Rattus norvegicus: one gene and its partner. Each later gene encodes a partner of the first gene's protein in a complex. Links are inferred from orthologs where the notes say so. Each region holds a gene or a part of one and is shown on either strand. Other genes may lie near its edges.

Region 1 (4,559 bases):
ATGTTCAGGCTGCACTCAAGTCTCCCTCCCTCTGCCCTGTATCTTAAGACTCATGTTTCATCTGCTAGGTGAAGTGACAGGCCAGGAAGGACGGATGGACACACACACACACACACACACACACACACACACACACACACACACACACGACTGTCTCTAAGAAAGGAGAAGCAACACTCAGACATAGGGCAGGCCAAACCCTAATTTATTTCAGTGTCTGCAACAGCTTAGCCATCAGAAAAATAAACTCTACCCAGGGCGACAGAAGTCTCTACAGCGAGGCTAAGGGCTCAGCCGCCAGGCGGCAAACATCAAGGATGCATGGCGGGCACTGCCCGGGTAATAAGTTAGGAAGCGGCAGCCTGGTGGTGGCTAGGGCCAGGCTTCACTTCTGGGCAGGCATGAGGTCGTCAATGGGCTGACCCTGCTCAAGCCGCTGCTCCATCTCAATGAGTAGCTTCACTCCGTCCACCACCATCTGCACCAGCTCCACCTCCGAGAAGCCCAGGCGGTCAGCGTTGGAGACATCAAAAACTCCACCCACAGCAGCGGTGTCCACACCACCTGGGGATGGGAGACAGGCAGGTCAGCAGGGCTGGGGAAAGCCGCGTTTGCTGCTTCACCTGAGTCGTCTGCCCCTCACCTGTGCCTCGCTTCTGAAGCCGCAGTCGCTTGAGCACCTCCGAGAACTTCTCGTGCTTTCCCAGGTGGGGCAGCTTGATGTGCACGCCTGCCCGAAGCCCAGTGCCCAGGTTGGATGGGCACGTGAGGATGTAGCCCAGGTGAGGGTTCCACATGAACTCATAGTTCTTAGACTTGAAGAGAGTTTCAATCTGAAGGTGAAGGGAAAGTTAAGGGAAAATGTAGCTGGAAGCCCCAAGCACCCTGGGAAATGTGGACTCAAATCCCCCCGACCCCCTCCCTCCTTAGCACCAGGCCAGACCTGAGTGAGGCCAGTGCAGAATCGCGTGAAAACTTCCTTCATGTTGCCCCCTTTCTGCATGGAGATAACCCGCAGGTGGTCCTCCTCGTTGATCCACACCAGGAACGTCTTATTGTCATTGTGCCTGGAGGAGGGGGTCGGGCAGACCAAAGTCAAAGTCTACAGCCTTAGTTAGGTCACACCCAGCAGGACGCCCTAGGTGGGTGACCTCCAAAGCGCTTTCCAAGTGCAGGAGTGTGGGCTGTCTCTAAGACGCCCACCCAGCAACACTCGAAGGCAGGGAGACCAGGGCACCTCAATCACCAGTCATGTGCTGCGTGGCCCGCAAGGGGCTGGAGCAGCCAGAGCAGCCCACCAGAGGAAGCACGCCTCCGCCCGCGCAGTCTGCAGGGGTAGGAGCCCTGCCCGGACGGGTGCGGAGGCTTTTGCGTCACTGGCACCTGGCAGAATCCCGGCGGAATAAGGGGGTGAGAAGGAGGAGAGAAAACAAGAAGCGCCGGCTCCCAGGAGGAGGGCGGAGAACAGACGCCAAAGAAACTGGTCACCACCCTTGAATCCCTGGAGACTGCGGCCTCCCGCGGCGCAGGGACCTCAGTCATCCGCAGAACCAAGGTCACCTGCGCACAGTGTGGTAACGCACAATCTACGAATTCAGGCCGTGCCCCACCTTCCGGGGACTGTGAGGGAAGAGGGCTCGTACCAAATGCCGCGAGCATCCGGCCAGTCGCGGGCCATGCCGGAGGCCAGCAGCAGAGGCGACACAGGCTTGTCGAAGAGGAAGTGGTCGTCAATGAGCTGCTGCTGCTCCGCCTCGGTCATGCTCTTGAGCGCATAGTACCTGCCAGACAGGTCGCCATCTAGGCTGGACAGGGCTGCGGAGTACAGAGTTCAAGGACCCGGTGGGTGGGTGGGCGAGCTAGAAAGCTCGCCACCCCGCCCGCGGCAGTGTCCCCGCTGTCTTAGTTGGGTCTTCCACCCTCAGACCCCTGGGGGAATGCGCGCGCGCCCAGACAAGAACGCAGCAGCTCTGGTGGCTGATACCGGACCCTACCTTCTACTGCCAGCTTCTCGATGGCGCGGCGCTCCCCACGGCTGCAGTGAGGGGGGAGGCAGAAGCCGCGGATGCTTCGGCCTGTGCGCACCCGCGAGCTCAGCACGTAGTTGGGGTCCAGGTCATCGCCGCCCTAGGGATGCAAGGCAGTGGCCGGAGTGAGCGCCGAGACCCCCTCTCCCCAGCACGCCCGGACCCTGACGCCCCGCACCTGCAGGTTGTCTGGGTTGAGGTCAGTCTTGTGCTCATCACTGGGCTGGTAGCCGCCGTGCCGGTCCTCGATGATGGGGTCGAAAAGGTCCTTGAATACGTCGTAACTCTCCTCGTCGCCCGCCACTGCACCCACTGTCATGATGTACGGGTGGCCTGGAGGAGGGGCGCGGCGACAGTGACGTCAGCGCCAAGCTAGAGCAAGGCACTGAGGCCCTTATGGCTAAGCGCAGAGAGGACCAGGAGACCCCACCCCGCCGAGGGTTCAGGGAAGAGCAGTGGGATCCTTGCCCGGGGGGCTTGTTGGGGAGACGAAAGCCTGACGCTACAAGGGTGTGCATACCCGGATTGTCTACGCCAGTCTGGATGGCGTCGTCCAACGTAAAGCCGCTCGGCGTGCACTTGGCACGGAGCTCCGCGTACAGCTCGGGGGTCAGCACCTTGGCCATATGGTTGTTGTGGCTGCTCAGATCAGGGAATTCATCCTCGGCCGGGAAGCGCAGCTTCTGCGTGTTGTGGCTGTTGGAGAAGGGCATGGCGGCGGCGGCGGCGGCAGGCTGCGGGGAAGAGCGGGGTCAGAGGAGCTTTACACACCGGTCTCCAGAGACCTGCAGACCAATCCGGACCCCCGAAGCTTTCCTCGGACGTCACCAAGGTCAGCGAGGTCTGCATCTTTTGAGTCCGGCGCATCCCAAGTTCCCCGGCGGGTCCGGGACGCGCTCCGGGCAACGAGCTGCGCGTGATGCACCCAACCGCGTAGCGCCCCTCAGGACTAGCCCCTCACCCTCCGACCCGCTCACCGGGATTCCGGACGGAGCAGGAACGCAGACTGCTTGTGCTTGCAGCTCCGGGCGCAGCGCAGAAGAACGACGGCCGCTCGCTGCTCCCTGAGCTCTTAAGGGGCGCGTCGCCGGCCTCCCATTGGCGGCTATTTATAGCCCATTCATTCCATTGGCCCGCGCTTTGGGGTGGTGCCGCCGCTTTGTCCGAGGCAACAACCCTCGACACCCCCAGCGGCCCACCCCATGGGTCCCCAAGTCTCGACCCCGCTGCGCAGTTTGGTCAACCCCGTGGCGCTCGCTCAGGATCTCGAAGACGAAATCCCAGGACCGTAGATACCCTAGACCTGCTTCACACACACTGCCTCGGGGCAGGAAACTGAGTCTGGAAAGCCAGTTAGCACTTGAGGTTCCTGCCTTCCCTGCTTCCTGCCTTGTCAGGCCGACAGCAGTGTTGAGGGGGTCATGGCAAGAGATACCAGGTTTTTAGCATGGGGTACGGCTTCCATCCACTGCATCCAGGCGGTACAAAACGGTACAGGGGAGCTGACCTTCCTCAAGGTGCCTGCGGGCATCTCCTGGGTGTTCTTGGTGCAACACCAGAGGCGCAGTCTGGCTGCGGTCCCGCCCGGAAGCACCCAGGGTGTTCTGACCTTGGGCGGGCCCTAAGGAACCTAGCCAAGACCCTTGGACCCGGACCCTGAAAAATTCAAGACACTGAGCTCCTAGAGACTGTTTTTGAATCTTCAAATCCCCAGGTTCTTTCCTGAGGGACCGGTTTCTACCACCCCACCTACAAAGACAGTACCTACGGCAGGCAAACTGGGGGTGGAGGAAGCACCAGTCAAAAATAAGCTCATTAATCAGATCCACCAGATTGAAAGAGTCTCTTTCCCCCACCCCGTGTCCCACACACGCAGGTACGGGGAAACCTGGAATTTGACCACAGCCAGTGCCGGCTGTGAATTGGAATGTGTGAACACAGGCGTTCACACCCTGCCTCCAGCTGCCAGCAGTTTCATCTTCTCTGGAAAGTAGTTTAGCAGTACTTATTAAAATTTTTAAAATTGTTCCATGACCTAGCAATCTCACTTCTAGGAATCCAGCCTATAGAAAGACGGCGTCCCTTCTCTACGAATAGATCAGGAACCGTGCAGAGGGAGAGAAAGACACGCTTGGATTAGACCTTGATGCTCATGAGGGGATGGCCATAGGTAGAAAAGTGTACAGACGCAAACAGAGGTGAGGCCGGGCATGCTGGCATACCCCTTCAATCCCAGGCAGAGGCAGGAGGATCTCTATGAGTTTGAGGCCAACCTGGTGTACAAAGAGAATCCAGGACAGCCAGGCCTCTGTTCCAGAGAAACGTTGTCTCAAAAAAAAAATCAATATCTATACTTTCCTGTTTATTGTCTACTCACAGCCTCTCAGCCATTTCTGGGTTTGTGTGTTAGACAGAATATCTTCAGTCGTTTGTCTTTGACAGGCTCTATAGTCCTGGACCTCACCATGTAGACCCTACAGGCCTCAGAGATCTGCCTGCCTCTCCTTACCCAATTCTGGACTTAAAGACGTG
Region 2 (3,003 bases), on another chromosome or scaffold:
CAGAAGTTAGGAAAGGTGGAGATCTCCTCCCTTTTCCTGGAAGCTAAAGGGGAGTATTTCAAGAATATTCTCCCCTGCCTCTCCTGTGCTTGGCATCTAAAACATGTTTTTTCATGGCCAAGATTGAAAACATGAAATGACTCCCAACAAGCTTGCTCTGAAGTTTTGTCCTTCGTTGACCTTCATGAGGATATCCCAGAGTTGCCCCTAATTAAGCACATCTTCAAACACTGCTTTCCATTTCTCTCAAAGTGTGTGCTGTGAAATTTGCTGGCTTGTGCCTTGAACATAATCTGATGGTGCCTTCACTTGCGACCACTCCCTTTTGGAAAGTGCTGTTAGGGTTCCATCTAAAGTTTACACACATCCCTTTGACTATACTTGCCTTCACTTCTTGTTCCTTATCACCCTAGAGATCCATAACTACGTTTACCTATAGCTTGTGGTAAGGCTACAGGGCAGCAGAAGCCAGAGTATCTTTCAATTGTAGTCTCAAGATTGACTTCACAAGAAAATGGCCTGGGTCCCATGCTTTAATAAAATTAGGGTGCACAGGCACAAACCAGCAATAATTGAATCAATGTCTCTGGAATGGGACACAGCATCATATAGTTTAAACTTCCCCAACTCCAGCCAAATCTAAATTTCACCATTGATTGAGAGCTACTGTCTTATGGAATTTATTATGACTATATAGTTTTCTTTTTTTAAAAAAAATTACCGAAGAAGAATTCCCATTTTAATTTGGTTCAAGGAATGGTCATTATACCTTACCTTTTATAGTATCATAGGGATTCTAAACCTTGTTACCATTGGCAGTTGGAGTCAGTTAGGAGCTGTGCTGTGCACAGATGCTAGCAAGTAATGCTAACATTTTCTCAAGTAATGCTAATCAAAAAGTGCCTCAAGATACTGACTAATGTCCCCTAGGAAGAAAATTCCTTTCTTTTCTTTCTTCCTACCCAGCCTGTTGAGAACCGTCATCCTAAAATGAAAACTCTTGCCTGCTCCCTGTGCATATTTATGTTAGTTCATTTTCCATCCATGAGCTAAAGTTTTGGGAAATTTTTGAGTACAGAAGAGAAAAGTAAACACAAAGGAATTACACAAACTTATTATTTCCTTTGAGCTAAGCACGTTTGAATGCCTTTAAGTTGCTAATACTATAAACATACTTTCATCTAGCAATATGGTTTAATTTTTAAAAGACAACATCATGAAATATGAATTTTACTTTTTACGATTGGAACTTTTGCATAGCTGTTTTATTCCCAAATTAGTTTCTTTTCTTTCTTTTTTTTTTTTTTTTGGTTCTTTTTTTTTTTTCGGAGCTGGGGACCGAACCCAGGGCCTTGCGCTTCCTAGGTAAGTGCTCTACCACTGAGCTAAATCCCCAGCCCCCAAATTAGTTTCTTTAAACCTGTTAGTGAGGTGGCGAAGTTGTAGATAACTTTCACTCTGCCCTAAATTAAAATCCAGTAAGGGATGAGGACGGCTGAGCAACTAAGAGTGCCTCCTGCCATGGCAGAGGACGGGCACTCTGTTCCAGCACCCACATCTGGCAGCCTACACCCATCTGTAACATAGGTGGTGCCATGCTCTCCTCTGGCCTCCATGGTACTCTCAAGCATGTGCTCATGCTATCATGTATACATATACATACAGATAAGAATAACAGAATCTGAAAACATCAAATGATCTTCCTTCAGTTAAATACACTCAGAGAACATAGCCTAAAAATGCCTCCTTCATATATGCAAATAATAACAAATGAAAAAAGAGACCTCGAATTTATTTGAAAGAAAGAGTATACAGGAATGTTTGGAGGGATGAGGGGGAAGGGGGAATTGGTGTAATTGTATTATAATCTCAAAAAAAAAAGAAGTAAAAAATGGTAACCCCCTCATTTTTGTATAAGAATGCTATATATATATATATATATATATATATATTGCATGATTTAAAAGGCAGTCCTAGATTAGCAAAACCATCATGATTGGTCCCATGTTCTTTCTCCAGGGCCCCTCTCTTTGATGCAGCTATGCCGTTTGAGAATCCGGAAATGCTTTGGCATTCGGCAGCATCACAAGATTACTGGACTTCTTCTTCCGGAAGACCTGAAGCGCTTCCTTTTGCACCTTTAATTGTGGAGGGACTGGATCCACAAGCAACTGAAAAATGGTGTTGAAACTCCTACTATTGGAGTTTCAAATAAACTAAGGTTTATGATGGCAGATTAGTGTTTTCTTTCTTTTTATTTTTTTTTTCCAGTAAGACCCTTATTTTGAATAAGAGCACACCACGTACTTTATAGTCTTGGTTGGAGAGTGTGAAGACTGCCTGTCCTCTGCTTAAATGTGATTGTCTAAAAACAGCTATTGGTTTTAAACATGTCCTACATGCCAATCACCGAGCAAGGAACACTTTCAGCATTGTCTAATTGAGCCTTCACAGCCAAGTGCCCAGGTGGGTCCTATTTACTGCCTCTGCCAGGTGATACGCCGAAGCCCAGACTGATCAATATATCCAATTACCAAGATCAAGGACAGGGGAGCCAGATGCAAACATAAATTGTCTGCTGTTAACCTGGACGGTTTCAGCTAAGCCAGAATTTTCTATCATTATGGTCCTGGTTCCATTTCCATGACACCGAAAGGGAGACAAAGAAGGACAATGCTTCTTTGTGTCAGTACTTTTAACCTTTTCTCCTTTGCTGTACTACTGACTGTATTAGATCTAGAAGCATGTTTATTTTCTACCTCAAATCCCATGTGCATAGTAAGTACCTTCTAGAACTCTGCTGGGCAATATAGTTAGCTGCTCTTCAGAGCTTTCCACTGTGTTCGATTTTTTTTTTTTTCGGAGCTGGGGACCGAACCCAGGGCCTTGCGCTTCCTAGGTAAGCGCTCTACCACTGAGCTAAATCCCCAGCCCCACTGTGTTCGATTTTTAATCACTCTCCCCGTCCCCCATACTCAAATACTGACAATGGCTGCAAACATT

The links. Proteins that work in one complex are often made in the same cells at the same time.
Region 2: the proteins of Ckb (region 1) and Asb9 are in contact, whole or in part, in a cryo-EM structure (PDB 6V9H), measured with the Homo sapiens proteins. The link is inferred for Rattus norvegicus from reciprocal best matches to the Homo sapiens genes CKB and ASB9. Residues at the interface, in NP_001814.2 of Homo sapiens: Asn63, Pro64, Gly65, His66, Pro67, Tyr68, Ile69, Thr71, Arg130, Arg132, His191, Val198, Ser199, Pro200, Leu201, Leu202, Leu226, Trp228, Glu232, Ile238, Met240, Asn286, Arg292, Gly303, Lys304, His305, Glu306, Lys319, Arg320, Gly321; in NP_001026909.1 of Homo sapiens: Leu25, Asn27, Pro28, Leu29, Met30, Gly31, Asp32, Ala33, Val34, Ser35, Asp36, Trp37, Pro39, Glu42, Ile45, His46, Trp60, Ala67, Asp68, His69, Glu75, Ala100, Asp101, Trp102, Val111, Asp133, Leu134, Ser165, His166.

Annotation. Positions count from the first base shown.
Region 1 is NC_086024.1:136,550,399-136,554,957, forward strand, and holds Ckb (creatine kinase B-type), read right to left. Parts: upstream 3,067-4,559; 5' UTR 3,005-3,066; intron 2,762-3,004; 5' UTR 2,741-2,761; coding exon 2,548-2,740; intron 2,361-2,547; coding exon 2,206-2,360; intron 2,128-2,205; coding exon 1,995-2,127; intron 1,816-1,994; coding exon 1,644-1,815; intron 1,068-1,643; coding exon 944-1,067; intron 834-943; coding exon 644-833; intron 565-643; coding exon 386-564; 3' UTR 185-385; downstream 1-184. UniProt on the Homo sapiens protein: Reversibly catalyzes the transfer of phosphate between ATP and various phosphogens (e.g. creatine phosphate).
Region 2 is NC_086039.1:33,587,715-33,590,717, reverse strand, and holds the end of Asb9 (ankyrin repeat and SOCS box protein 9), read left to right. Parts: intron 1-2,019; coding exon 2,020-2,144; 3' UTR 2,145-2,234; downstream 2,235-3,003. UniProt on the Homo sapiens protein: Substrate-recognition component of a cullin-5-RING E3 ubiquitin-protein ligase complex (ECS complex, also named CRL5 complex), which mediates the ubiquitination and subsequent proteasomal degradation of target proteins.